4 linked regions of the Struthio camelus genome follow. The protein of the gene in region 3 interacts with the protein of the main gene of each other region in a biochemical or structural test. Links are inferred from orthologs where the notes say so. Each region holds a gene or a part of one and is shown on either strand. Other genes may lie near its edges. The genes, in order: TBC1D10A, EZR, NHERF1 and ABCC4.

Region 1 (7,373 bases), on a different chromosome or scaffold from region 3:
AACCGCAGGAGAAAGCCATTGGGAGGAACTCGAACACAAGTGACAGCCCGCATCTGTTGGGACGACAGCGGGGACATCCTCCTGTGCTCTCGTCCGCAGAGAGGGCACCCGAGTAACGGGGCTGCCACCACGGCGCCTTCAGAAGCGCCCCGAGAGGTGACGGTTCGTTCAGAGGGGCACGTGCAAGCCAGCTGCCTCCGGCTACAGTCACTGTGGGCAGGAGAGCTCCTCCATCCAGGAAAGAGCCTCCCACTTTATGCAGTGCCGAGCGCATGAATGAATTAACCGAGAATGATCCCGACAGGCAGATGAGGGATTTGACACCCACCGAGAGAGCAAAGCACCTTGCCCAGCAGCCGAGCAATCAACATTTCAGCAGCTTTTCTCCCTAGACACCAGTACTGGGGGAGCAGAGTTAGCACCCACAGGCTCCTGGCTTACGAAGGCTTCCCACACTCAGGAGGGATGCACGCTTTGCTCCTCATAGATGGAGAAACTGAGGCATGCGGCCCAATCGACATCAGAGCAGGCGAGCGGGGACAAGAGCTCAGACATGTCAGTGCGCAGCCCCGGCACCCCTCTGACCTTCGGGGAACTTCACAGACGCGCTAAGAATACGCGCACCGGGTGAGGGGGGGGGGGTAAACAGCTAGGTCCTGCTGGCTGGGGGCCAGGCCAGATCAGCTGTCACGCCGGCCCCGCATCGGCCACAAGGGCGTCCAGGAGCGTCCTGCGAGGTGCAAATCGCAGGGGAGCCAGTCCTAGGTAAGGCCACAGCTAGAGAGGATCAAGCTGCCACCTTGGCCACCTGCCCAAGCAAGGTCTGATCCCTCGCTTCTCTGGGTGTCGCTGCAAAAACATCATCGCCAGGAAGAAAAACATGCCGCCAAACCAGCTCCCCAGGACCTGGGGCGGCCGGGGCACATTCCAGCGCGCCTCGCAACCAGCGCCACCCAGCTCCGCGGCGGAGTCTGGTGCTGCGGGACAAGCCACGGGGCCAGCACGGCCACTAGCCCTCCTGCCTCCCAGCTGGCTGCCAGCAAGCCTGGCGCTGCTCTGCTCAGAGCTGACTTCAGCAGCCTCGCTTCCTCCCACCATCAGCTGCGCGGGGCTCGGGGAGGGCGGGAGCCCTTCTGGAGGCTCCTCCGATGGCTTCCTCTGCAAACGGAGATCAGCCGCCTTCCCCTCCTCGCCATGGCCCCTCCAGTAACTGCTTGCTTTTCCAGCGGCTACAGATGTTCCCGACCAGCCTACGAGTTCCCCTCGCAGGAAGCCAGCACCCAGGAGAGCCAAACAACGGCACGGCCTCCCCCTGTCAGACGACGGCCAAAAATACGCAGGAATCCAGCGCCTGGACGAGAACAGGCCTCAAGGTAACCAGACACTGACATCACCGAGTGGAAGGGGAGCGAGCAGGCCTTGGCGTTACTTACGGCGCTCAGCAATTCCTCCCTCACGCCTCCCCCCGCCCAAGGCGAGCGCTGCTTTCTAGCCTCTCCTTGAAACTGCTCCAGCCCCCTGCGTGTTTCCCTTCTTCTCTCCTCCCAGTCAGCCGGCAGGGGACACGGGAGAAGCTGGAACAGCGTTAGGGGCTCTCCCAACTTCCCCTGCTGCCTTTTTTCCCGTTGCAACTCCCGTTGCTGCTCTGGTGCAGCAGGAAAGCCGTCCACGTGGACCCAGAGCGTCGCTCCTCCAGCCTCACGCTCCGCTGTGGGCGCAAGCAACGCCGCAGGACGTCCCAGCTCCGAGCAGCGGAGAGCCCACAGACAGTCGCCGGCGCCAGAGCGCAGGAGGCTGGGGAAAGGCAGAGGACCCTGCACCGTCCTGCTTCTGTGACTCCCCCAAGAAAATTTAAACAATTTACAGCACGAGGCAGGAACACTGCCCAGCAAGCTTCGGTCACTTCGAGCGACGTCAGAACGTCGGCAGGAGCAGCCTAAACAGAGGCGCTGGGGACAAACAACAGCTCTAGATCACCCTATCCTGGTGCATTCCAAGATTCACACTTTGTAGGCTCAACATAGCCCAAAATTCACTTCTCTCCGGCCACAGGGACTGTTTTGTTTTCACTATGGTGCCACCGAGCCAAAGCTGGCCTTGGAGCATCGGTGTTTTGCAAGCCAGCTTTGAGACGGGTCTGCGTGGGATGCTGGGCTGGCTGACAGCTGAACTCTGGATTCCTCGAGGTGCAGCACTTCCCCGGCACCCCCAGCCGCCTCGCTGCAGGCAGCGGTTTCGGGGAGCCGGCTGACGCCGCCGGGCAGGGACGCGGTGCAGCACGCCAGGGAGGCGTCACGCACCGCTCTCCTCCCGGGCGCTGCTTGCCAGCCTCGCGCGCTAAGAGCCGATACGAGAGTCACGAAAAAAAGCAGCCCGAGGTTTATTGCGGGTCGTCCACCCTGCTGACAGGGTTTTACCCCAGGCACGGGGGGAGGTTCCCCCCGGCCCCGCGGAGCCCAGGCGCGGGAGCCCGGCCACCGAGCAGAGCCGGAGCGCGTGAAACAGGGCCCAGAGGCGAAGGCAGTCGGCGGCTGCGGGGAACGCGACCCCCGGCGGAGGCCGCCCGGCCCCGAGCGCGGCGGGGAAGGCGCCAGCGCGGGCCCGGGGCAGGCAGGCAGGCCGCTGCCGGGCCGGGCCGGGGCAGCGGGGCAGGACTCGCCGCCCGCTCCCCGGCGGCCGGGGCCGGGCCGGGCGCCCCGCAGGCCGCGGGGGCCGGAGGCGCCGCCGAGCCCCGGGCGGCCCCGCGGCTCCAGGCCCGCCCGCTCCCCGCGGAGCCGCCCCCGCCCCGGCACTCACGGCCCCTCGGCGCTGCGGCTGCCCACGATGAAGCCGAACTTGTCGACGCGCCGCTCCTCGGGGCCGCCGCCGTTGACCTCGGAGTCGGAGCCGAGGGAGCTGAGCTCGTCGCCGCCCGGCTCGGCCGCCAGGCTCTCGCGGGTGCCGGCCAGGCCGCGGCGGCTGCCGGGCGAGCCGGGCCCGCCGCCCCCGCGGCTCTTGGCCATGGCGCTGCGGCGGCGGCGCGGCCGCTCCCCCGCGCCGCCCGGCCCGGCCACGGCGGCGGCTCGGCCCGGCCCGCCCCCGCCGCCGCCACGGCCCAACCGCGCGCCGCCACGCCCCTGCCCCGCCGGCCCATTGGGCGCCGCGCGGGGGCGGGGCCGGGCCTCCCCCTCTCGCCAACCGGCGGCCGCGGGGAGAGGCCGGGCCGGCTCACGCCGGGCGGTGATTGGGCGAGCCGCCGGGCGGGAGCTGTCCGTCAGCGTGAGAGACGCCGTCAGTCAGCGCGGGGGCGGGGGCTGCGCCGCCGCCATCGGGGCCCAGCGCGGCGGCCGCGCCGGAAGCGCCGGCCGAGGGGCCCCGAGGCGCCGCTCTGGCCCGGCGGGCCGGCAGCCCCGGCCCCTGTTGGGCGGCGCCGCGCGGGCAGGAGCCGCCGAGACTCAAAAAGGCTCGTCTGCCTTTTCCCTCGCTGTGCAGGGAAGCTGCCGCCGCCGCCGCCCGGCCCACGGCAGTCTGGTCTCGGGCCACGCAGGAGCGCCGGCCCGCTCCGCCTCCCCCACGCCGCGGGAGGGAAGCACATGGGCCACGGCAGCACCGCAGCCCGCAACGTGGAAACGGCCGGGAGGGAAGCGCCCCGTTGTTTTTGAAGTTGGGGCGGCTCCAGTGCCCGCTGGCAGCTCCCATTTCCTCCTCCGGTTGTGCTGTGGCCGGCGAGGCAACGCATCTGCCTCTTCTGCTTTGATTTCAGCTGCTTTTGCAGACGCGTGGGGTTGTCTTGGTGCTGAAGAGCCAGCGAGGGAACGGGCCGCACCGTAGTCCCTCTCTCTCTGACCCTGCAGTGGATTTCCTGCCCCTCCAGCCCCCAAAGGAGCCTATTTCACATCCTCCTGGAGCTCCAGCAGCTCTTTCTGGGCAGCGTCCGCCCCGAGGCTCACCTCTGCCCCGGGCCCAGCCAGGCACCGAGGGCTCCATGGGGCAGCGCAGGCGCCCTCAGCTTCGGGACCATTTCACAAGATCATTTCAGAGGGGAGCAGCTCTGCAGCCCAGGCTGTCAGATGGCAAAGCCATCACAGAAGCGCCAGCTGGTGACAGAAGACTTAAAGAAGCCATCAATTTAGTCTCCACCACCTGTGTGATCTTCTGCCTCTCCTCATGCTCTCCTAGGGCACCAGATACAACCAGCAACTCCTCATCTGCTATGGTCAGGCTTCAGTGGCAAGTCATATAGACACAGAGAGCTGTTTCACATTATCAGAGCTCAAGCTGTGAGAGTCGGTCTGGTTGTAGGGCTGGGTACTGCAGTTAAAAGGCAACAGGCTCACAAAAAACATACTTTAAAAGGAAACTACACGTGCGTTTGCCTTTAAAAGCATGCTGTAGTTGTGATTTCCAGCACACAACCACAAACTGTCCCCCAGCTTGGCCTACACCAGTGCAGCGTAAAACAGACCTGCCCATTTCTCTAGAGAAACCCTTTTGGTTACCTCTCCTCCGCTCTGCTCCCACGAGATCAACCTTTGCATCAAGCCTTGAAAAATCTCTCATATTACAACTGCAGCTTGTACCAGGACTCCCTGGAGAGGGAGGGGAGGAAGCAGGGTACCAGGCACACAACAGCTCAACTGCCAGCAGGGCAACACCGCGAGCAGGGTCACCAGCAGAAGCATCTCCCTCACATCTCAGCTGGACAGCAGGAGTGAACCGGCAGCCAGTGAAGCCCACAGATCCCAGGTCTCTGCAAACGAGCTGCCGCTATCTGCGAGTCTCTTAGTGGCCTGAAGCACAAACCCAAGGAGCACGCTGAAATCTAGCGGAGCTTTCTCGTCTCTACCTCACACAAGTAAAACTCCTCCGGCTAGTCACAAGGATCTAGCAGGGCCCAGCACAAAGCAGACTTCAGTGTCAGCACTGGGTCTTTCGTCCAGTACAGGTCAAAATGGATGCAACTTTCCACTGGCAGTTTTGCAGCGAGGAGGCAGCCTTAGAGCTCCTTCCCTGTGTCCAGACCCTTATCACCCTCTGATAAAATTATGACCCCATGCTGAAGGCTAAACTTATTGTGGCAGTAACACAAAGCATGACTTTCTCCCACGAACAGCAAAGCAGAGGGGCTTTAATAGAGTCAAGACCCCTCACAAACCTGCAAGACATCAAGTCCGAAGGGCCAAGGAGACTGATAGGTTAATTCAGGTGCTGGCTTTATGGGCCTATTTTCAGATTTTTTTCAGGCAGTCTAAGCTTTGCAGATCCACCCCACTGAAGTGGAAGGCCCTGATAATAGTTGTTTTGTACTGGATACACACACACGCAGTCTTGTTTTAACATTCATCTGCAATATTTAGATAGAAACGGGCTGGCTGTTGGCAAGTCTCCACGCAAGTTATTTCTAGTGCTCTCACTTGGAGGCCAGTGCAGGAAGTTCTCCTGCAGGAATGCTGGGCTGGGCACTCGGCCCCGTGCAGGATGTAGTCAGACGCTTGTAGAAGTAGCCTGACTTTGTTGAAGACCGAGCACGTCACCTAAGCACCAGCACAGCGTTCATCCAGAGACACCTAGGAAATAAATGTCTGATAAGGGAGCGCAGATGATGCTCCTTGCATCAAGCACTATGGCAGTTCATACTGCATGGGTGCAGCCCAGAACAACAGCTGGATGACCTTAAATGCAGCCCCATCACGCTTGGTGTCTTACACAGGATGTAGAAACATCACTTCTCCATTTCAGAGCTCTCTCTTCCTTGCAGAGCTGATCAGCTCTGGAAAACACCACTTGCTAGCTAGCTATGCACATGCTGTTTTAGCAAACTGCTGCCTCCACTGCAATGACTCCAAGCTATGCCACCGAGTGTTGTTGTCTCCAGGAGATTGTACCTAACTATTGTCTAGTTTTTACAAGCCAAAAGTAATTAGCACGCCTTCCTGCAGGGCAGGAGCACCTCTGTATCCACAATACACCCAAACACCCTGCCCACAGCTGCAAGAAGCTGTTAATTCAATATCCTACAGCACCAGAGCAGGCTGCGCTTTTGTGACTAAGCGCTGTGCTGTTCTCAGACACGTGGGCATCCGACACCGGCATCTGTCAAAAACAGCAGCTGGCTTCCATGAGCTGGGAGGACCGCCAGCCACCTGGGTTGGGCCTGGGCCAAACACCTTTCCCACACCACTATGATTTCCTCTCTCCCACCTACCCTCAAAGATGAGGGCACAAAGGGGACTGTAGGATGTTGTCCTGTGTAGGATGTTGAATCTCTCTCTCTCTCTCCTAAGCACAAAATAACAGGATGTTAAAAGCTAATGTCTATACCCCAAAAATCATAGCTTTGGATTATCCTAAAAGGAGAGCAGAGGTACTAGAGTCACGTGGCCGCTGCTGGGCAACAACAGACAACAGCATTTTCCTTGACCACTTATTTACACATAGATTTTAATGGCTATTTTTTGTTTCACCATGTTCTGTGTTATGTTTGCATCAAACCGTGACACAGCTATGACTGACGGTACAAAAATAATCTATTTTTAGAAGCTAATGCTCTCCGTGACCAAGAGATGATAGAAGCACAAAGTATGTAATGCATTTTACAAGGAAATTCTCACTAGTTAGATTTAAATTCAGAATAATCTGTCACCTCATACATGGACATAAACAGCAATTATATATACACCTGTATTACAATATGGGAATAACTGTGTAGTCTTAGAGAAGTTTAACAAAAACCCTTTCTTACAGCTTTTCCTATGAAGGAAAAGCTTTTTCTATAAGCCAACTACAAAAAAAAAATTCCCCACAACGCATCTAAAATTTGAACACTTTAAAGCCAGGCACATTTCAATCTTTAAAAAAAAAAAAACAAAAAACATAAAACCCAAGGAACTAGAGTTGTTATAGACAGAATCCCACACTAAGATGGGTGTTTATTAAAACAAATCACAGACTGTACAGAATAATCATGAAGTTGTTTAGCATGCACAGTCCCAGATCATCTTTATCATGACGAATGGCAGTGTGCACTCATACTGAGGGAGGATAAAATTCCAAGTCAGGGTCAGTGCAAGAGACTCTTGCAGATAGGTCAGAGACAGAGAAAGAATAAGGAGTGTATTAAGTATATCGAGAAGAAAGTTTTCAATTAGAAAAAGATTAAATGAAGTGGCAAACACTGTAGTCAGATGATATTCTTGATCAGTATAAACCCCTTCTACAAACAAAGATGGAGCTAATCTAAGCTGGGCATGGCCTCAATGCCACTTCATTAGGGAATTCAATGGACAGATAGCAAAAGCGGACACCAGCATTCTAGCAAAGCATTGATCACTAAAAGCCTGCTGCACTTACATATTAGGTCACTACATTTACACAACTTTCATGGCCCTATTCTC
Region 2 (7,148 bases), on a different chromosome or scaffold from region 3:
ACTGTCACACTTTGCAGAACATCCATGCTAAATTACAAATTGAAACTGCCTGAAAGCATTTATATTAAAAATATTTATTTCAGTTATTTTCTGGATAGTTAGAATTTATTTTGAGCGCTGTAGACATGCATCAGAAAAATCCAACTAATTACTTCAAATATGGCTACAGAATCTGGAATACAGTCAATTTTCTAGCACTTTAGTGATCATGTATTTTAGTTGAAAAACCCCCAGTGTTCTAGTGTTAGTGCACTTGTTGTTTGATTACTGTAAAAGAAGAAACTTCAAAAATGATGCATAAGGTCTGCTCGAGTGCTTATTTTTTGTTAAAACAACAGCTTCAAAGATTCAATTTAATGGGTTTCTTGCTAAAGTTTTGGTTACTGATTGCAAGTCAAGATTTTAAGATGAAAAATTGATGACCAAATTGTCAGCGTTCACCCATAGCAGCATGAAATCTGCAGGCAATGTTATATTTACTTACACCAAGCAGAAACAACACATGCAGACATGTGTGGAAAATAAACATTAAGTATTCACATCAAATATCCAAGAGAAACTAAGGCTGCTTCTTTGTGCTCCCTAGGAGTTTATACTGTTGTTCCTCAAGCATGCCAGAGGTTGTTGTCCTGTTCTGAGTGCAATTCTGCTTCTGGACAGACAGCTTTACATCCCCTCCCACCATGCCCTGCAAACTGATAGGAATCCTATTTAATTGTATTAAGAGCAAATGAGCTGGGCTGGAAAGAATCCAAATTCATTGCCTCAGTCTGAAACAGTCAGGCTAAACCGTTTTATTAAAAAAATCCCTGCAACAGTCCTCCATTTACAGTAAATTGGTAGTTAGCAATACTGATAAGCAGATTAAGTACAGATTTTAAAATAATGCTTATACTATACAAGAAGACATTGCCACACAGCCTTGGCCATAAATCCCAGCCAGTAGGTCACATGTCTCTGAAGTTATTAGTACAGTTGACAATCGTCCTTCCCCTGCGGCTTACACCATCCACCTATCACCATTTTGTCTGTGCTGTTCACCAGGTAGTCAGCCAACAAGGCAAGAAGCCATATCAGCATCCATGAGGAAACATGCACAAAACTAGGCCAGGTAAAAGGAAGAACGTGGCTGTAAACAGGTCTTTTTTGCTTGGTTTGGCTTTTTTTTTTTTTGGGGGGGGGGGGGAACAGATTAAAGAGTTTTTCCACATCTATCCATGGCTTTCAGTATGGATTAGTCCTAGACCAGGATTTCAGATTATTCTAACTAGGGTATTCCATAGACAAGAGTCTGCATAATTAGCAAATGGCTAATAACACAGTTTTTTTATACACATATGCACACACATATATACACACACAAAATTTATGTTCATGCTTGGTAAATTAGATTTTCTACTCCAGCCTGCAAAAGGTTATTTTCAGAAGATATTTTAATATGCAGTAATATATCAGCTACTGCTAAAATATAATCTAGGGGAGACTAAAGATACAGAAGTTCTTAAAATGATTGTGAGCATTAGTTTTTATTGGAGGTTTACAGAGACCACAACATAAATTAACCTAAACACCTCATTTCTGAAAGAGGACAAGTTAAACTAACTTAAATGTTATGATAAAATATTAATTGCTTACTACCTTAAAGATAAGCTTATTACCTTAAAGATAAGATGCACCTAATAGTCACATAAATCCTTCACGACACTGCATTTTAAGAAATATTGCCTCTATTGGAAAAAAGATAGCAGCAATAACATGGTCCGACTATGGCCAGAGTTCAAAAATGTGTTTGCTCCAATGACTACTTAGGGCTTTACATTAGGCAGCTGGTCCCTCAAGAGACTTGCTGTTTCTAACCGCAGAGGGGGAAACAGATTAAAAAACCCTCACCCCCTGCCAGCAAATCTATAATTCGGGATGCAACAACGATACAGGGACCGAGGAAAAAGAGGCCGATGAAGAAGGTTTGTTCAGTTAAAGGGCAGGAGGGGAATGCTTTTTTCTGATGACGACCAGGATGGACCAGCAGCAGTCCCACCTGCAGCACTGCAGAGAATTGCACTAAGAGGCCCCGGGATTTAGTTTTTAGATCACAACACAATACAAACAAAAATGAAATTTCTTATATATTTACAAATACACGTGATTCCTGCGTGGAAATGCATACCGCGGATAAACACCAAGAGCAAGTCCGTGCTGTTTTGCCATCTCACTGTGAGAATATGCCCCCCAAAAAACAAAGAAAACACCCCACACCTCTTAAGAGCTACTCCAGAGGGCTGCATTTTTCCAGACACAGGACTGTTTCAGAAAACAAAATAACCCACTGCTCGTCCTCTTTGGAGGGGGCTCCCGAGGCTCTTCCCCGCCGGGGGAGGCCGGGGCGCGGCGCTGCGCGGGGCCCCGACGCCACCTGCTCGCCCACCGCCCCGCGAGCGCGTTTAACGCTTCAGCATCGCGCCGCGGGGCGCGTTGGCGTTTTTAAGCGAAGCTGCTAAGCGGCTCCAGCCATCGCTTCTGCTTGCACGAGCCACCTCTTCCGTCCGGGGGCTTCTTACACGAGCCAGGGGTTACTCGCACACGGCGGGGGCTCCGCGGGGTTCGCCGGGGGCGCAGCGCCCCCCCCCCCCCCCCGCGGGGCAGGCGGGCACCGCGGCGGCAGCGGCGCGGCTCCCGGGGCAGCCCACCCCGCGGCAGGCCGGCGCCCCCCGGGCCCGCGGCGTTGCCGACGGACGCGGGCAGGGCCGCGCACCGGCTGGGCCCGGCGGCCTCCCTTACCGGCTTCGGCATCTTCCGCGGCGTGGAGCGTTTCCTCTTAGTCCAAAGGCAAACGTTCAGGCACCAGCTGTCTCGCCCCAGCCGAGGAGGAAGGAGGAGGAGCCGCTCCCAGCCACGGCGACGGCGCAGCCCGCGAGTGCGGCGCCGGCCGCCCGGCGGCGGTTAAGTACGCAGGTGGGGCCGCGGCCGTGACTCACCGCCGCCTCCGCCCGGCCCCGGCCCCGGCCCCGGCCCCGGCCCCGGCCTCGCCCCGCTGCGGCCGGGCACCCCGCACCCCGCGCCGCCGGGAATCCCCGGGCGGCGGCAGCAGGTGCCGGCGGCGGAGAGCCCCGCCGCGCCGAGGGAGCCCCTCACCGCCGCCGCCGAGCCTGGCGGCAGGGCCCCCCCGCTGCCCCGGCCTCGAGGGGAAGGGGCTGGCGGTCGCGACCGCCACGCAGCACTGGCACCGCTCGTTGTGAGACGCGCTTCTTGTATTTAACGTAAAGTTCGTCGCCGGTCTCTTAACAGCTGCGGTGCGTCTCCACGTCCAGAATCAGGTGATACGGTTACCTTAAGAAAAACCCCAAACCCACAGGACTAACTTTTGTATGAAAGACTCTTTGCAGCAATGATGGCGTGGGAGGGAAGTCTGAAAATCCACCCAGGCTCAGAAACCAGAGGGCCAAGAGAGCACAAGCTGAACGTAGTTACTGTAGTTGATCGTGATCTTTAGTCAAAACTCAGGAAAGATTACGAGAGAGTTTAGAGACATACACAGATGACAGTCGGTGGCTCTGCCCCTTGCTTCTTGTCCTTCCTCGTCCACAAACACAGTGCTGCGGCTCAGGTGGCCGCCGGCTCCGCAGAGGCTGCTGGCCTCCTGCAGCACTTCGCTCGGCTGCGCGCGGGAACAGCTTGCATTTACGCAGTCACGGGCAACGGCCTGCAGGCCAAAGCTCTTCCTGCGTGCCCGTCACGGTAGCAGTAGGACTAAAGAAATGGTGCAGCCTGCTCCCAGGTTCAAGCAGCATGTGGCTGTTTCATGAGAAAAGGCATGATGGGCTAGGAAACGGGAGCCACAGAACAAGGGGGATAACAACCCAGAAGATGAAAAAGATATGGAGCAGGGAAGAGCCTGGAAGGTGTCAGTGGATGGTAACAAAAAAGATAGCACTAACAGGACAGGACCTGCACAGCAGAAGAAGATAGAAATGGTGTCTTAGCTTGAAGAGTCCACTAGGCAGCAGTTGGTACTGCCACATTAAAGAAATTATTGCTCCGTCAGGTCTCTGAAAGAAAGGGGAGGGGAACTGAAGAGGAGGCTGACACTGTTACCTCCCTTCCCTGTTGGATGATCCTAGGGCACTAATGGGGGCTGTCCTGTCAAAACTGAGCTATGGGGATGGCAGCTCAAAACAGCAAGCGAGAAGAAATAGTCTGATGAAGCTGAATGGCTCCTAAGAAAAGGCTCCGGGATCAAACAGCCATGGGAAACAGATATGGCCTCAGTTTCCAGATGGAGCAATTCCAGTGAAGCTTTGCTGGGATCAGGTTAATTTCACAGAATATCATTTGTGAGGGGGCTTTCTACACTCTTCTGCTGAGCAATAAGTTTATGCTAGGATCCATGCCCTACTCAAATAGGATGGTGCTGGACGTGGACCAGATCATAGTATCACTGCATTTTGAATAGATGCTGCTAAGCACAAGAAACAAATATTCCAAGTACAGAATACTTTAAGAATCCATCAGCTTTCACTCAGATCCCTAAGCTGTATTTTTTGATTTTTGGGGGGTGGGGAAACATGTAGGTGAGATATTTTCATTCCTTAGTCTTAACATCCAGACTCTGGCTGTGACTAGATGAAAAAAAAGCCAGAATAAACTAGTGTCTGCTTACACTAGAAAGAGGCAGTTGCACAAAATTTAATGGAAAGCTCATTTCTATCCTGGGAGATTTCCATCCCAACAATCCTTTCCTGTCCAAAGCTTGACATGGGCTCAGAGGCCATCACCCTGGGCCTCTGTGTTGGAGCAATTCCACGTTGGAGTGATGCTTCATGTAATAGATCCGAATCAGATGACTTGAATCAGTCGGGCAACTGTTTGTTTCCGTATGTTAGTTACAGATCCAAGCTTAAAACTGGGTTTTTTTGGTTTCGTTTTTGTTTGCTTGTTTTTGTTTTTTTTTACACTTACTGTTGCCTCCTAGCCACAGAACTAAAAGTAAAATGAGTTTAGGTGACTAATAATTGTTACGTCAAACAGTCTTTAGGTTCCTGTTTGCCACCACACATAACCTTGTGCCATTCTGCCACAATCATCAGCAATGTATGGGGAGCGAAAGATACCTCAATGGTATCCATAGCTACTGCCTTACTCAACATAGCCCCACCCAGAATCAACCAACATGAACACGCTGAGCTTAAACAGGCAGAATTGTCTTCTGTGGAAGGAACCAGAAAAAACAGCAGGTTGCAGCATACATCAGAGACCCTTGGCCTCCCTCTTGGGCTTCGCCTAGTGCTAAATGTGTTTTTAAACCCCCTTGCCTGCAGAGATTGGGTGTCTTACTAAACTCCTGGTTAGGTAAGGTTTCAGCAAGGTGCCTTTGTCACAATAAGAAATACTCTTCTATAATTGGGTCCTGGTTTCTGCCCCCGGCCCCCCAGTGGATTGGAAGAAGGCTTGTGATATTATTCCCTTCTGCCTTTTTATATAGAAGTGTATTCCTCCTTCGCAGATGCAGTACAGCTTCCCTTTGCCACTAGAGGAGGGTGGAAAGCCTCCAGTTCTCCTACTTTCCTGACAGGCAGCCTATTGAATTTTTGGAGCAGGGGCATCGTGTGTAAGACTGATACGCATGCTCTAAGAGTGCTTACAGTTTAAATCCCTTTTGGAGTTTGGGCAGGAGAACATCAGAGCAGGTGTTAAAGGGGTGCAAAGCAATCAAATCCCATCAAGACAAGGTTTGAGGCAGAACTCTAAATATGAAAAACAGATACAAATATGCAGAAGTAAAAAAGTGAGCCTGGGGAATTTTCAAATGAGAAACCGGTGGGACTTGGCTACTTCTAGATTTAGGTATTGGCTTAGCAGGAGAGAACTTACACAGCCACCCTTACTACAGGATCTTCGATCAGATCTCACAGCTAACTAACTGCAAGACCCAAATCAAAATGAAACCAGCCTTCACTAGTTCTGGTGCTCATGGAACAACTAACTGCTTTCAGATTTGGTCCTTTAAGTATTCTGGATCTCCATTTCCCTTAAAAATCCTGAGGGATGGTATTTCCCCTACCCCAAGAACTGAAGTGCAAAAAAAGTCTAGTTCTGCCTTTAGTAATCTTTCTATTCAGTTTCTTAAGTTGAATTTCAAAATGAAACATACAACGTACATAGAAACTAAAGCAAAGACTTGTATACATGACTCATTTAACATTTGTGATGGGTTGTCCAGGTGCATAAGGGTTTAGCAGCCAAAATTATTTCAGATAAATTAATGCAAACAGTTGGATGAGAAACTGTTCAAAATCATGACTTGGCATTTTATCTCATGTTGTGTATTTACTAAACTTAGCTTCTCATTCTGAAGCCTTTAAGTTACAGCATTAAGAGTTGCTCTGATAAACCACTTACTCTTAACATGCTCTATTAAGAGGGTAGCATTACTAACAATTTACAGGAGTTACTAAAGCAGAGGAGGTAATGAAAGGACCTAGATTGCTCAGCAGGTCAGTAGCACAACCCAGTTTCTGCTTTCTTGCCTGTAATAGCTCCTGTACCTTACTGTCCACTAAGCTTTTCAGCCACCAAACTGTGTCTTAAGTCAGCCTGCCATCAGCCTGACCATCAGTCATCAAGCCTGCCTTCCCTGTTTTAAAGAAAAGACCCATTTAATCTCTTGTTCTACCTTAATTTTTAATAACCTTAATTTTATGTATGTTTTGTTGTAAAACATACATAAAGCATTTGTCAGAATTTGCTCAAGAAAGTCCTATTGCTGTAAGGTGGCTTTTGCTAAACAGGTTTGGTGCCAGCTCAGTTCTTTGTCAACATCAAACTTCCTAAACCTGATCATCCTGGACTGGTAATTATGGAACATATGTGTCCTAAAATGCTATCCTTGGTTGGTCACGCAAAATCAGTGGTCTCAGAAAAGTCAAATCTCAATTCCTTGTTTCTTCCTATAGAAAGCTTTATCCAGGCTAAGAACTTCTGGCAAGGCATAGCTGGAATCTCTCTCTTTGCAGCATCTCTCTTGGCTGGTTTGCAGTTTGACTCCAAGGCTTTTTTATTAACTGGAAATTTATAGTAGCTAACTCTGTCCTCTTAACATTGTTCACAAGCCATGCATTCAGTAGAGCAGTTAAAAGAAAATATATGACTTT
Region 3 (7,983 bases):
GACACCATGCCCAGGTCAGCCAGCTCTTTAAACCGCCCTCCCCCAAAAAAGAGACCTTATCTTAATCAGATCCAGCCCATTTCTCCAAAGCAAGACAGAGGATCCTTAAAGATACAGGCATGCATAGGAAGTGGCACAAGTTTGTCAGCTCACAACAGACAGGAACCATCTGATCCAGACTTTGTCCTCCAATTACCATCGACCACAACCTGCGTCCTTAAAGTGCCTTGGCTGGAAAACCCATGGCACTCCTGAGATAACAAGGTGTCTGTCCCGTAACACAAGTGACTGGTTCCAGAGGGCTCTGAGCCCACTATCACTGTCCCAGCTGGAGGATCAGGGACAGAGCCGTCCTCTCTCCAGTAAGGATAAAAGGATGTTCCTGGCTGTTTTCACCTGGGGAAAACACCTAGGGAAAAAACACTTTGTCCCTCTCATTCAGACCACAGAGGAAGCGATCTGCACCCACACAGCCACTCCAACTGTGGAACAACGCTGTTAAGCATAAAACAAGGCTTTAACAAGACCTGCCTGTTCCAGGAGGTCCCCAGGCCGGTATGTCCCCACCGCAGGTCAGCCAGGCCAAAGGGGAACACACACTTGGCACTGGGCTAAAGTCCAACAAGAACATCAGCAGAACTTCTGCTCCTCTGCAAAGCCCTGTGGGACGATGGCTTAGCGAGGCACCGAAGTCCATCCACTCCCTCCTGACACCCTGCTCTGAAATCCTCATCCCTCTTGGTTCCTGTTTTGCTCCGTAAAACGGCTCAGGAGATCTGCAAATCAAATGCAACTCTCCCTCAGCCCTCCTCGAGGCACAGGTCTGAGAAACATCCAGCCAGCGGGCAATACTCAAATGCTGCAGTGATTCCCAGCCGGGCCCTAACGCTGCTCGGGCATCCACAGTGTGACCGCTAGGGATTTAACACACAGCCTCAGCAAAACATCCCGGGAGCCTTTTGCCTGGAGGCTCAGCATCAGCAATGGGAACACCTGCAGGACCTGACCCTCCTAGGGGCTTCCATGGTGCATGGAGCCAGAGCAGAGCTTCGTTAGCCCCGTCTCACCTGCTGGCAAAGCCCCACTCCTGGCTTTTTAGTGCCTGGTCCCTTGCTCCACAAAGAGGATCCAGCTTTGTCTCAGGTGGTTAATCAAGGAGGGTCCCCAATAAGCGATGAAGCAGCCTGCTGCTACTACAGTTGCATTGCTGTCACAGATAGTTTTTAGGAACAGGTTAAACCACTGCGTAAGAGCTGGCATCAAGGCTTCCTCAGCCCCTGGGATAAGCTGGCTGACCCCAAGGGCCATCCCAGCCCACTTCTGAGGAAGACCATCTCCATCTTCGTCGTAACAACAAACACATGTTTTCACTGGGTAAATAAAAAGCAGTATTATCGCAGGCAGCCAAAAGCGTCTCTTAGAAACCACTCTGAGTAGGAAAGGTCAGATATTTCTCAACTCCTTACCTCTCTATATTGCTTTGTTTGTGCAACGGCTAAACTCCCACGCGCTGTTTAAGGCTGACATTCCCGAATTGATAAGTGTCTGTCTACAAAGTCCTACGGGCCGCACGGAGCAGAGCCCCCCTTCCCAGGGAGGTCACCATCGTTTCTGCTCTGCGAGGGTACCGTGGCCAAACACTGCTTGAGGCACGTCCCAGCCTCGAGGGCTGAAACCGCAAGGTGAGGGGATGCAAACCACAAAAAATTGCAGTCATGGCCCCCAAATCTACCTTCAGCCAAGGCTTTTGGTCTTATTTTGGAGATGTTTGACACTAATAAGGAGAATCTTAATCTCTTGAATATAAATAAAGGAAAAAAGGGGCAATCTTGCCTCTGAGGTCCTGCCACCCTTTCCCTCAGCAGCAGGCAGGGCACAGGGAAAGCATCGCCTGTCCCAGCCCCCAGAGCAAACACCTGCTTGACTAAAGCTCAGAGCAAAGCGTTTCTTCCCAAAAAGCACCCCGGAAGCTCCCAGCATGACCTGACAGCGAGCTGGCAGGTTCACACTAAACCACGGGCTGCAGCTACCTGTTGACAGAGCCAGCAGCAGCTGCGAGCAGTGGCATGCTCCGACAGTTTCCTGTTGGATTTCTGACCCTGTTTTACTGGTCCTGCAGCAGGCGGGCTCCACGACACGAGGTGCTACTTGCTCCCAGGGTCCTGATGAGCCCCATGAGCCCTCTTGCCTTTGTTTATGTCCCCCCCCAATGCAGCTGATAACAAGTATTATGCAAAAAAACTAAATAAAAGAGAGACGAGCGGCCCACACGAGCCCGCTGGCTCCTAGCCTCCCCCGGGCGCTGCTGCAGATAGGTCTCCGGGTGCCTTTTTTTTTTTTTTTTTTTGGAGGGAAGTGCACTTCAGGCGCACAAAGCGATAAGCACCCGACTGCGCCCACCGCAGGGAGGCCTCCGGGCGCAGGCGGCACTTGCGATGCCTTGGCCACGGGCGAGAAAGAAGGAAGCGGGTCAGCGCTCCTGGGGAGCCGCAGGAGGGGTGCGACCACCGCCGGGCCGGCCCGGGGGACGCAGACCGCCCCCCCCCCCCCGCCGCTCTTACCCGCTCAGCCGCCGGGCTCCGCTCCTGCCGCGGGGGCTCCGCCGCCGTGGCCGCCTCGTCGCCACCGCCGCCACCGGGCGCCGGCTGCTCTCGGCCGGCGGCGGCGGCCTTGTGCCGCTGCTCGTCGGCCCGCGGGTCCACCACGAGCAGGCGCACGGCGCCGGCGGCGGCGCGGATGCGCTCCACCACCTGCTGGTGGCTCTCCGCCTCCACGTTGTCGCCGTCCACCTCCAGCAGCCGGTCGCCGGCCCGCAGCCCCGAGCGCTCGGCCGGCGAGTCCGCCTCCACCAGCCGGATGAACTGGCCCGGTTTGCCCTTCTCGCCGTGCAGGTGGAAGCCGTAGCCGTTCGGGCCCTTCTCCAGGCAGCAGAGCCGCGGCCCCGGCGGCGCCGCGGAGCTCATGGTGGCGGCGACGACGGCTCCCGCGCTGCCCCGGCCGCTCCCGGATGAACCTCCGAGCCGCGGGCTCCGGCCTTTATACCGAGGGGCGGGGCCCGGCAGCGGCGACGACCAATCAAGAGCGAGGGGGGCGAGCCCGCAGCCAAAGAAGGAGCTCGGCGGGGCGGGGATATGCAAATGAAGATGCGCGGAGCCACGCCCCCTTCTCGTCGGGGCCAGAGCGCGGGGCGGGGGCCGGGGGGCAGCGCGGCTCCGGGCGGCCCCGGGCGGCCCCGGCCTCCACCGGGCTCTCGGGGCCGGGGGCTCCAGCCCGGAGCAGCCGCCGGTGCTTGCTCCCCGTGGGGCCCGATCGTTCCCCCGTGGGGTCAGATCGCTTCCCCGTGGGGCCCGATCGCTCCCCGTGAGGCCGGATCGCTCAGCGATGGGGCCCGATCGCTCCCCGTGAGGCCGGATCGCTCAGCCGTGGGGTCAGATCGCTGCCCCGTGGGCCTAGATCACTGCCCTGGGTCCGGATCGCTCCCTCGTGGGGCGGGATCGCTCACCCGTGAGGCTGGATCGCTCACCCGTGAGGCTGGATCGCTCACCCGTGCGGCCGGATCACTCCCCTGTGGGGCCGGATCGCTCCCCATGGGGCTGGATCACTTCCCCGTGTGGCCAGATCACTCCCCCGTGGGGATGGATCACTGCCCCGTGGGGCCAGATCACTCCCCCGTGGGGCCAGATCAGTCCCTCTGGGGCCCGATCGCTCCCTCGTGGGGCTGGATCACTCCCCATGGGGCTGGATCACTCCCTGTGGGGCCGGATCACTCCCCCGTGGGGCCGGATTGCTCCCCGTGGGGCCGGATCGCTCCCCACGAGGCCGGATCGCTCCCTTGCAGCACCCCCGCGGGACGGGAGCGCTGCCCGGCCGGAGCGCCGGGGCACGGCTGCCCGCCTGGCCGGGTTGCTCCTCCAGGCCCGCGTCCTCGCCTCCCCGTTCCCGTCTCCGCGGGCTCTGCCTGCACTCTCCCGTCCCTCTCCCAGGCGGGACGTGGGGCCAGGGCGGCCCCGGGGTCGGGGTGGGCTTTGCTCTCCCTTCCTCTCCACCCCTAGAGTCGCTGCAGGCGCCGGCTGCTCCTCCCGCAGGATTTAGGAAGCTCCAAGTGGGGTTTAGCGCATGCTAAAACAAAACGTGCCAGTGCCTTTGCCCGGGGCCCGGCCGGCCGGGGAGCTCGGGCAGCGGGGTGGGAGCAGCCGGCAGCGCGGCGGGAAACCTTCGCCGTTCTTGGGAAACCAGGAAACTTTTTCCTTTGCAGGCGCCCAAGGAGGGGACACTAAGAATAGCTGAGGCAGAGTCGGATGAAACAGCCGCTTTTGTTGTTTTCGGAGAGGAAAAGGGAGTAGCGCTGGCGTATTCCTGCGGCCATCCTTAGCCAGGGCGTTCCTCGTCAGCGCCGTCCGCTGGGCCTTGCCCTCGCCCCCGCGGCCGAGGAGGGGCCCACGGGCAGCAGCTCCGCACCCCCTTCCTCCCAGTCCCCTCTCCCAGTTTGACCGTTTTCAGCTCCGCTCCCGCTGCTGGGCCGTGGGGCTGCTCAAAGCAGAAATGTGGAGAGCTGCGCTGCCCTTCCAAAACGAAAAAAACCAAACAGAAACCAGATTTGCACGGGAAAACGGCACAGGAGGCAGCGCTTTCCAGTAACCCGCTGCGCAGCGGAACCGAAAGAGCAGCCCAGTTCCCCAGAGCATCCCCGGGCCGGGCTCCACCTCCACTCGGCGCCCCGGCACACAGGCCTGGGGCGCCGTGCGCGGGGCCTGCGGGGCGAGGGGAAGCACCCATGGGTGCTGACCTCAGCCGGGGAAGCAGGAGAGGCCGCAGGAGGAGGTTATGAAAGTGCGAGATCCCGGTTCTCCGGAGCAGCCGGGGCCGAGGCGAGGGCGCCCGCCGCAGCCGGCCCCGGCGCCGCTCCTCCTGCGGCGAGCGGGGCTGCCGGGCCTTGACGGCTGCCTGCACCCAAGGCACCTTGCAGCGGCCGCGGTGGTGATTTCAGCGTCTCGCTGCCGAACTTCAGGGCCCGGTTAAAATTAAGATTCGTTGCAGATCTTCGCAGCAGTTGGGAATCACTTTTAATTGCGTTACAGCCGAGCAAACAAGCAGGAGGGACTCCAGCACGCTCGAAGAAGCGTCCCTCCCGCGAGGGTTTGCACGGAGCACCCTGCGAGGGGCAACGCAGCGTGTTGGAAAGGGCTCGGAAACCTCAGGAAGGGCTGCACCGGTCACACCAACGGCTCTGCAACCCAGCATCCGGCCAAGCAAACGCTCGCGTGTCCTGGGGCTGCGTTCAAGAGCCGAGGGTGGGCTCATTTCTTTCCTCCGCTCTGCTGAGCGTCAGCTCGGGGCCGTTCAGCCCTGGGAGACGCAGTGGCAGGAGGCAGATCGAGCGTTGAGCCTTCTCCGGAGAAACAGCGCAGCGCACCGCGCGGCGCTCGCCAGCAGCCCAGCAAGGCAGAGCCGTCCCCCCCCGGAAGGAGGTTTGCCAGCAGCGCAGCCCCCCGCGCGCGCACGCGTGTGGGCGCGAGGGGAAAGAGGGGACGTGCTCTTCGGGAGCGCTAGCTAAGTCAGGAAACAAAACCCAGTCCTAGCAAGGATGGTTTTAGCACGGGGACCCAGATAAGGAAGCGATGCAGCACAAAAGGAAACAGCCAGAGGCGCTTCGGGGCCAGGCCCCCCCAGCACCCGCGAGCAGGCAGGATACCGGCGGCACCGCTCCCACCCCAGCTGCGTCCTCCTGCCGGGGCTCTTCGCAGCTCTGCGTGACGTGCAGAGAGCTCAGGCTGCAGGACAGAAAGCAGAAAAGAGCCAACGTCTGTTTGTGTTGCAGCTAAGCAGCCTTTTCTGCCGACATCAGCCAAGAGGCAGCAGCAATGCCATTGCTGGGAAGAGAGAGTTATTTGGGGAATGCCGGACTCCGCACCATGCGAACAGCAGGGGAGGAGGTCGGTTTTAATTTAACAGGCCGTGTTTACTCTTCCCCTCTCACCTTTGGACCGCCTGAAATCTGCAGCGTAAGCTCCGGCGAGGCGGAAGGGGCCGCGGCGCTCCCCCCGGCGCCCCTGCCTCCGCGGCAGCCCCCGCGCCGCCCCGGCCCGGCAGCCGCCCACGTCGCGGCCCCGGGTCAGCGCTTTCTCACGCGCGCTCAACCGGGCAGACGCCAGGCCTCTAAAATACCGAGCTTTAATTCTGTAAACTTGCAAAGAGAGAGAGAGAGAGAGAGACCCGTGAGCGGCGCGGAGGCAAAGGAGGCGCCAGGGCAGGCGGGAGCGCGGGCGCCGGGCCAGGCAGGACGCCCACGGGTCGGAGGTGCGCGTCATGCCAGGACTCCCACCCGGGGCAGCCCCTCCGCTTCTGGTCTGAGCAGCAGGTCTTGAGCTATATAACCACGCAATCAGCGTCTTGCACCCTTTTCTCCCCGCAGGCGCGTCCTGCCCTCCGTGCTACCGCGGCGTGCGGGCAGGCAGCGCGCTGGAGACGTCAGCAGCCGCTGTCCGCCGAAGGAAGAGGGAGGCGATGCAGGGTCCGCAACGTGCCCCCAGGGCCCCTGCAGCTCCTACGAAGCGCACACAACAGTGCTTGCTGCCTGAAGCATCTTAGGCATCTGCTTGCTCTCTAGAGAGTGGGTTTAATCTGCTGTTTGCCAGTGGCAGGAAGAAATATTTGCATTACGTGCACAGCAATGGGAGGAAACCTCAACCAAGATTTTGGGCTGGGAATTTATAAGGTCTCCCATTACCGCCTTTGCTCGGTCCCAAAGCCTAGAGCTGAAGCAGCAGTCAGCAGCTCCCTGGCTATGTCCAGAAAGAGCACGTTCGAGACCAAAGGAGAGACCCAGCTCGGGGGAAACCCCATGGGAACAGGGAGCTCCTGCTCATCTGAACAGGGCCAGCGCGAGGCCACACGCCAGTTTGGGCAAAGCCTGAGGGCAGGTACCTGAACCAGACTGGGGGCAGGAAACGCCCGAGATCGGACAGCAACGTGGCCAAGGGGCCAGGAACGAGGACAGAGCGAGCCGCCGCAGCTCGGCACAGCCCTGCGCGCGTACAGGCACACGTACGAGGGGCCCCGCAGACTTACCCACATCACGGGGCAAGGAAACCTGGACAAAACAGACCTGCGGAGGAGGAACCTGGTGGCGAGGGAGCCGCCGCTTCCCTGTGACGCTGGAGAGGGCAGCGACCGAGCTGGAAGGGGCCGAGCGGGGCTGGCGAGCTGCCGGCGTCCTCCCGGCTCAGCTCGCGGGCAAGGTAAGGGCTACGCACAAGGTGACGTGCCCTGCGGTGGCCTGCGACAGGGCCGGGCTCTCCTTCGGCGGGAGCCAGGTCGTCTCTGCCCCGGCAGCCTCCCCGGTGGCCGTAAGCTGCTGCCCAGAAGCAATTCCTCGAGCCCCGACCCGCACGGCCGCCCCTCTCGCACGTCCCCTCCGGGCCGCTCGCCCGCCAGAGCGGGAGCAAGGCGAAGTAGGGCTGCGTTTGCTCTCCTGAAACACCCGGGCAGCAGCGAAAAGCCAGGGCCAGAGCCTGCCTGGGGGCAAGCCGGAGCCCAGCAGGGCCCGGGAACCAGGCGGCGGCGGCTCAGGCCGTTCACGACATCAACGCCGGGAGCAGAGTCGGCCGCAGGGGAGGCAGAGGCACGGAGGCAGCGTGAGGCGGAAAGCCAGGCTCAGCCCTTGCTGAGCGAGCGAGAAGACCCCCAGGAGGCGTGGGGTCCCCCTCGCCCCCGCGGCTGGCCGTCGCCCGCGGCCCGCGGGGAGCCCCAGGCTCGGCCCCGGCGGGGCAGCAGGATCTGGCCGCCGGCCTTGCCGGCCCCACCAGACGTACCGCTGCGGCAGCGGTCCCCAGCCAGGGTGACAGCTCTGCGTGCACGCGCAGTTGTGTCCCGTCCCCGTCGGGACCCTCCGCATGTGGCTTCCTGCAGGACTCGAGGGCAGGGCTCCGGCCGCCGCTGCCTCCGGGGCCGGCCGGGTCCCTCCCCGTCCCCCCCGGGCACCAT
Region 4 (7,482 bases), on a different chromosome or scaffold from region 3:
ATCCCATTTCTGCAACACATAGTAATTTCAGCTCTACTTCTACACCACTGGCAACAAAGGGGGGGGGGGGGGGGAGCCTCCTTACAACAGCAAGATTGGATTTTTGGAAAAAAAATAAATAGAAGGGGAAAAAAAAGGGAGGGGAGGGGGGACACCTGCCCAGCTGCCTGCAATGCTGCTAATAAGGACAGAAAGTAGGGCTAACAGCCAGCAGCTAGGGTTTGGGCAGCACAGCAGGCCTGCTGGAGCAACCACATGTCAGTGGTTGCCGCTACTCCCCGGACAGCCCTCCTCAAACACTGTTTTTCCAGTTCTCCAACTGAAAACATCTCTAAACATCCTGTGTGAAACAGCACTTCCAATGAAGCAGTGCCAAGAAATGCTTACACAGTTGTCAAAAGCTGTGTGCTTCGCAGAAGCAGTGAACGATTCCTAAAGCTAACTTTAAGGGTAGATTTATAGCTAGTGAGGTTCATTTTAATCCTTTCTCAGTTTTATGTAAAAAATTATTAACTTGCAGAAAGATGACATCTCCTAGATCCTCAATTTAAGCCACTGCAGACATCGCTTCAGCTGAATTTTTCACTGAAAAAATACTAAAGCTTTTTGACTAGCAAATAGCTAGAATATACTGGTATTTGATGATCACATGCAGCATAGGTAGAAGGGTGGCATAATGTTGCTGAAGCCCGTGAAAGCCTGGCAGATAGCATACAGAACTTTTTTTTTTTTTAAATTCAGTAAAACTTTTCACATGCTATTAAAAACTTACTTCAGAGCACAAGCCCTACAGTGGAGCCCTACTATCTGAAGACTAAGAAATGTAAGAAACTGTAAAGTAAAATGCTCCAGTCAATCTCTGAAATTTCAGGAGGCCTATCATCTCACAAACACAGGGCTCCTCTTCCTCTTGCCCCCTTGTAGAATAAGAACCTACAAATGTGTATGGGGTAAAAGGAACCTTTTAAGTGCTTTCCTAAAACTTGAGAAATTTTAAATGGCTTTTGTGGGTGCTGCTGAACAATCCACTGCAACACCCAGAGAGCAATAAGATGGATGATGTGAACAGTCAAAAAAAAAAAAAAAAGTCACGAACACTGCACACTTCCTTTTTCACCTCTAGCAGAACTGCTTTTGGCATAACTACTCGTGGCAGCACAAGACCCCTGCAAGAAAAGGTGAACAGAGCAAAAGCAGTGCTGCACTGCTAAATGGCCAACCCGTAGTTTATCCCATTCTGCCTGGATTTCCTAGCAAAGTTGTTCCTAACATGGGCACCCCAGCGCTAAAAAAAGAAATTACAAGTCAAACTGCTGAACACAGGCAGCTCAACAAAAGCATGCAACCTGTTTTTTGCACACAGTACCTCCGAGGACATTTCCTTGACCGAAAATGCGTTTAGCTAAAATCGGTCAGGGCCTTTAAAATCCCTCCGCCTTCTAGAAAGGATCCCTGCAACTGCTCACAGCTGCTTTTAGGATCGGAGACTTTGGTGTTGTGTTTAAGAGGCTTCCAAACACAGGGGCCTCACGCACCATGCCTTCTCTTCCTTCTCCACCAAGTACTCCGGCACATGCACCCGGAGTTCAGGCGAAGGTGAAGCAGGGTAAGTACGTGTAGGTACCTGTACCTCTGCACCTGTTCTCTTCCAAAGGGGTCCTGCTAAGATGGACAAGCTTGATACTCCCCCTTTGCACCTTGCATGTCTTCTTTCCTTACCGTATTTCAATGCAGTGAAACTACCAGACCATGATTCCTCCCTGCTTTGAGTAATTATGCGCATCTGCGCCAAAGCCAATGACAGTAACAGAACAAGCATTAACTGCGCTGCCACAGTAGTCATCTGGTCCAGCATAGAAGTTACTGGTTTCCGAGTATGCTTGCGTAAGCGCCCCGTTCCCCGCCTTTGCTCTGCGACACCTCAGGCCCCCAGAGAGTCAAAGCAGAAGACTGCCCTTACACTGGGAAATCCCTAAGCAGACTACGCAGTTCAGAGAGAAGAGAGGAGAAGAAAAAAAAAAAAAAAAAGACTCCGACAGGGAGATCAGCAAGCGCTCTCGAGATGAGCGGTACCTGCCGCCGACCCGTTATGCGAGCAGCGGCGCGGAGCCGCCGGCGGCAGCCGTGCCGGAGCCGCTGCCAGCACCGGGCACCCCGGCGCGGAGCAGGCTCCCTGCCCGCCGAGGGGATGCAACACGTGCTCGAGCCGAGCTGCAGGGGCACCCTCGGCCCGGGGAAGCGGTATCAGACCCGGGAGAGCGGCGGCGGGGAGGAGACGTGGGACCGCGCTGGCAGCCCCCGCCTGCTCCCAGCGGGGCTTCCCGGGGTGGTACCGGCGCGCCGGAGACGCGGCTCCCCGCAAGCGGCGGGTTAGCAAGCTTTGACCTCAGGAGACCTCGCCTCGGCGGCGCCGCTCCCGCCTCCGTCGCCGGGAGCCACCTGCGGGCGAGGGGCGCTCCGAGCCGGCGGCGCTGACACGTGTTAACCCGCCAGGCCTTCGCCGAGCCGCCTTTGCAGAGTCACTGCCGGGAGGCGCCGGCGCTTCCCCCCCCGGGGCGCCCGGACCCTCGCGGGAAGCCCGAAGCGGAGTTGGGGGGGGGGGGAAGGAGAAAGGAGGCGGCGGGCCCCCCGCGCCGGCACTCAGCATCCCCCCGCCGGCCCCAGAGCCCGGCGGGAAGCCAAGGGGCGGCGAGGCGGCAGCGCCAAAGTCCCGGCGCGGCGCCTTCCCCGCCGGCGGGCAGCCCCGAGGCCGCACCTCGCGGCGCTGCCGCCGCCCCCCCCCCCCCCGCCTCCGCTCTCGCCCTCGGCCGGGCGCTCACCAGAAGAAGAGCCGGGAGCAGAGGTTGGCATCCCGCAGCGGGTTGGGCTTCTCTTCACGGGGCACCGCTTCCATGCCGCCCGCCAACCCGCCCGGCGGCAGCGGCGGCGCAGCACCACGGCCGACTTCCCACCGCGGCAGCCACCGCCGCTTTGCCGCCGGCCGGCGCTGTTTCCGGGAGAGCCGACACCCCCCCACCTCGTCCCTCCCTCCCGCTCTCCCGCCGCAGGACGCCTCCTGCCGGCCCGGCTCCCCCGCGACGCCCGCCCCTGTGCGGAGACGGAGACGGCGGCGTGACGGGTAGTTCCGCAGGGCCGCGCTGAGGCGACTGCCGCCCTCCGAGACGGCCGGGGAGCCTCCCCGCGGCGCTGCCGAGGTCCCTCCGCGGGGGAAGCGGAGCCTCCCCTCTCCCTCCCGCGAGGCGCTGTCGCCCCTTGAAGGAGCCGCTGCCCCTCCCGCCGTTGAGCGGCCGTTGGGCGGCCGTTAGGTGCCTGGGCGCGGGCCGAGCCCTCGCGCCTGAGGGGAAGCGGCCGCCCCGGGCGGGTTTGGGGGGGAGGGGGGGTGCTCCGCTGTCCCCTCAGCGGTTGGTCGCCTGTGCGTGCCTGAAGCGAGTTCACTTTTTTTGCCCTCGTGGCCCTCGAATAAAAGGCTGTAAAGGCCGCGAGAGTTTGTTTTGTTTTGTTGTACTGAGCTAAGGACATCGCCCTGTTTGTCACGCTGTCGCAGGCTGCCGCCGAGTGATAGTACCGTCTCCAAGATCTCTTCGGCGGTGCTGTCTGTGAAATGCTGCCGCCGTGCCACGTTGTTGCGGGTTGAAAACGTTATTGTCCTCTCGGCGCGGACCGCACCAAGCAAGGCACCCGCAGGCCTGACTAGGTGGAGAAACAAGCCGCTAGTGAGGAGCAATTGCAGCCTCGTGGGACTGACCTGCCAGAAACACTCGTTTCCACCTCTCCTTCCTAAACATTGCAGCGACTTGTATTAAAACACACACACACACACACACACGGGGGATGTCCATATTCCGAATTACAAGAACAAGGGCACTGGGGCAGCATGAGAGCAGCCGGATGCTGGTCTGAGTCTGCAAACCGGTGCTATCTGCAGCTCCAGTGTAATGATGTTGAGGAAAGTTTGGTGGTACAAAAAGTACCCCCAGAAATAAACCAGAATACATACACACACACACACACACAGACACACACACAAAAAAAGTAGTTATTTAATTCCAAGAGAAGGTGCATCACAGAAATCCTTGAAGCCCTTCTCAGAAGTTGGGTGCGATCGTTGTCAGGGCGGACGATGGCCGTACTCCTCTCCGCTGTTGTCACTGGGGCTTGCCGCAAGGGATGGGCCTGCAAGCAGTGGAGGGGACTGCAAGAAATCTAAGATAATACAAAGGTGAGGCACGTGTCTGAGGATAACCAAAAAACTATTCAGCTCAGTGAAAAAATACCAGGCAGAGTAGGTGTCTGCCATGCCCTAATTTCTCTGCGGCCTCCCAGACCCCTTTTCCCTCCAGCTGAGCCAGCTGCAAGGCAAGTCTCCTGTTTATTCATCTTTCGCCCTAGGAGCAACCAACCCTATCTCTTCCTGCTAAAATGGCTTATCGGTGAAATAGTTCCAGTATCTGATTATCACTATAGGTACATAGAGTTGGCACACGGTGAAGAAAAAAGAGGGTGGTAAGGTCTGGGCTACACTGTGCCATCCAAGAAACAGATTCACTTCACGCTTGCAAGGATGTCATAATAACCATAACACAAGTAAATCAAGCGTAAGTTTGCTATCAGTTGATAGCGAGGGAGAGAGGTGAGAGAGTTGGCAACAAAAAGCGTTGGCTGAGCATACTACAGGATTTTGCAAGCGATAGGTAGTACACTTCTCAGCACCTGCCTATAGATCTGTCTGGATTAAAACAAAGAAATACACTTAGGGAACTGGTGCAGTGATTTGCAAGGGCAGGCTTTAACAAAAAAGTGCTTTGTGTATTCCAGAAGAATTAACTTAAGTCACCTCCCAAAACATCTGAAGACAAGGTCTGTCCGTCAACAAATTCTGGCAACCTGGGTTTAGATTTCTGAGAAGCAAATTTGTCTAAACAGATATGAATAAGAGAATAAAAGGCATGACAGCCCAATGCAAGTCCTAAAACTTCAATAAAGTTTGGGTCAAATAGTGGAGGAAAGGAAGATGTAAATCTTTAAACTGGCATCTATTCATGAATCTGAAACAAAATCAAGCCAGATTCTTGCAAGGAAAGATTATCAAAACATTTCTTTGTTTGGACAAGAAAGCAGAATATTAGTCATGAACAAGTAATTTTTTTTTAAGAACACAAGATCAGAAAGTAACTTTTTCCAAGATTATTGTAACGGTAGGAAAATGGCAAAGAACAAACCTCAAGAAGTAAATTTCGTCTTTCCCAGCATTATCGGTGACAATTATTGACAAAATATAATTTTATAATAAATACTGCTGTCAGATTCCCATGTCTGAAACAAAACTCTATAGGAAGGTTTGGAGAAGGGAAAACTAAAGATTTAGCAATGCCCAAAGAATTATAATAAAGTTCAAGAGGAAAAGAAAAGCCTGAAAGCCAAATTAATCAGTAACTCTGTCAAGTGTACAAGTAACCAATGGAAACTGATGCAGCAATAGAGAATTGTGAACCAGTTAGAAACAGTAACAGAGATGCTCTGGAAAAGCTGAGACTGCACATGGAGAGGAGAGAGGAGGGAAAATAGATAGCACAGAGTAAGGAAATTAATCATCTTTATTTTAGGGGAAACGAAAAGCAACTGCTGATTTTTTAGTTATCCGTTGAATATTTTCCTGTGGTAACAATATATTCACGGCATGGAAGACTAAATATGCAAACAACCTAATCGAAAGTTAATATTACATAAATCCGTAATAAAGATATCAGTCTAGCAAAGCCAAGTACTCAGATTAGTCAATGGCCAGATTAAGCGAGTGTCATTTGAATTAAGCCATTTATGCGTATACATTATGCTATGGTAATTGGACGATCACAAGGGATTCCATAAACATACAAACACAAGTTTCTGTATTTATTCAGTATTCAAAAAGGACATATTCATTAAACAAGCCTCTGTGCAAAGCATGGTTTTAAATCCTCTTCGCTGTACTCTCTCCTCGTTCTGAACACAGTCAGAATCACCAGTTTCTTCATATTCCTTTTCTGTGGCACTTACCACTCTAGTATGAGGCGTTCACACACATCTGCTTTTCACAAAACCCTTAAGAGATAATTGGGCAGCTTATCTGCCTTTCAAGTGGTAAAGAGAAGCGTGTGGATCTTAAGGCAAAATATAGCCACTGATTCTGAATATGCAATCAGAACCAAAGGCTTAATACTTCTGAGAATGTAGCACTGTAACCTTTCACAATCAGGCAAGCGCCCATTGATTTCGGCTGAGAGGCGAACAATTTCTGCAAGTCACACCCCAGCATCTCAAGTCAGGTACCTGGAAAACAAGGACACGTGCCTGAGTGTGTCTTAAAAGTTTGGATAAACGATTTAATGAGCACACTACATGATATCTCTGAGGCAGTACTAAGGGCAGAATCAGATTCAAAGCTGTTTGAAAGACTTCAGAGGCAGTAGTTTTCTGAAGACAAGCTGTCGTAGCAGACTGTGAAAGCTTTACCACAGTGCATTGTTTAACTTTTGATCGAAGCCAGGCAGAAAGACAATCCATATGCTGCGTGACAAACCAACTAGACAGCTCCGTTTCCTGCCATGCCATGGGCAAGAAAGCAGGCTGTCCGCTGGCTGGGAGCCCAGCTAGTCACTATCCAGTCTGTGGCCTGACTCATCGTCTCGCTGACGTACTCAGTGAAGAATAGTTTCTCATGCTCCTGCAATACGGATAGATAGGCCTGTTCTTGTTCAGCTGCAGAACAGAAATGTCAGTGGTGCAGAATCAAGCTGTAAGTAGTTTGCTGTTTCCATCTAGCTATTAGTATATAATAGCAGCATTTTTTCTCAGATACTTTCTCTTCTTGTTGCTCTGCTAGCCATCTCTATTCTCCCCGTATCTTTTAACTACCTGTATCAGTTTTCTACATGCCATAGTTTCTAGTTTACACTAAACGTAGGTGCCTACTGCCGCTGTAGATATGGTAGGATATTCCACTTGGCTGCTAGCCACCACTTCAGAAGGCTTCAGGTCTTCCATAGCTTCTGTGCTGTATCTGCCAGTCCCATGCCAATGTCTCAAGTGCCTTTTAAATGGCAATAGATATCTACGTTTAGGCAACTGAACCCCATCCTTACCATCATCACTTCTGAATCAATATGGGTTTTAGGCCAAAGTCCTCTCCATCTTTCACTGCAACATCAAGTCATTTTGGCCAATAAGATTTTTCCTAAAGAGCTCTTAATTTCCATTCACATTTTTCTGCCTACGTGTCACACCCACACATACATACACACAATATTTCTGTTAATTTTCATAGTTTAGTTCTTTTAAATTCATTGTTGATGTTTGGATGCCCAATTATTTCCTTCATTAAAAAAAAGTTACGCTCAATTATCCGTAGCGTACGGCAGTTTCTAGTGATTATCTGCTAAGATAGGATTCAAAAATAGTTACTTTCTATTAAATTCAGTATTTATTGCAATAGAAAAGTATCAG

Evidence for each region.
Region 1: the proteins of NHERF1 (region 3) and TBC1D10A form a complex in vitro, tested with the Homo sapiens proteins (2 studies listed by BioGRID and IntAct). The link is inferred for Struthio camelus from reciprocal best matches to the Homo sapiens genes NHERF1 and TBC1D10A.
Region 2: the proteins of NHERF1 (region 3) and EZR form a complex in vitro, tested with the Homo sapiens proteins (2 studies listed by BioGRID and IntAct). The link is inferred for Struthio camelus from reciprocal best matches to the Homo sapiens genes NHERF1 and EZR.
Region 4: the proteins of NHERF1 (region 3) and ABCC4 form a complex in vitro, tested with the Homo sapiens proteins (3 studies listed by BioGRID and IntAct, with this or other methods). The link is inferred for Struthio camelus from reciprocal best matches to the Homo sapiens genes NHERF1 and ABCC4.

What each region holds. Positions count from the first base shown.
Region 1 is NC_090958.1:4,806,343-4,813,715, reverse strand, and holds the start of TBC1D10A (TBC1 domain family member 10A), read right to left. Parts: upstream 3,012-7,373; 5' UTR 3,003-3,011; coding exon 2,797-3,002; intron 1-2,796.
Region 2 is NC_090944.1:77,387,666-77,394,813, reverse strand, and holds the start of EZR (ezrin), read right to left. Parts: upstream 3,012-7,148; 5' UTR 2,791-3,011; coding exon 2,779-2,790; intron 1-2,778. UniProt on the Homo sapiens protein: Probably involved in connections of major cytoskeletal structures to the plasma membrane. In epithelial cells, required for the formation of microvilli and membrane ruffles on the apical pole. Along with PLEKHG6, required for normal macropinocytosis.
Region 3 is NC_090960.1:7,868,549-7,876,531, reverse strand, and holds the start of NHERF1 (Na(+)/H(+) exchange regulatory cofactor NHE-RF1), read right to left. Parts: upstream 3,004-7,983; 5' UTR 2,964-3,003; coding exon 2,562-2,963; intron 1-2,561. UniProt on the Homo sapiens protein: Scaffold protein that connects plasma membrane proteins with members of the ezrin/moesin/radixin family and thereby helps to link them to the actin cytoskeleton and to regulate their surface expression. Necessary for recycling of internalized ADRB2.
Region 4 is NC_090942.1:166,326,170-166,333,651, reverse strand, and holds the start of ABCC4 (ATP-binding cassette sub-family C member 4), read right to left. Parts: upstream 3,001-7,482; 5' UTR 2,894-3,000; coding exon 2,820-2,893; intron 1-2,819. UniProt on the Homo sapiens protein: ATP-dependent transporter of the ATP-binding cassette (ABC) family that actively extrudes physiological compounds and xenobiotics from cells.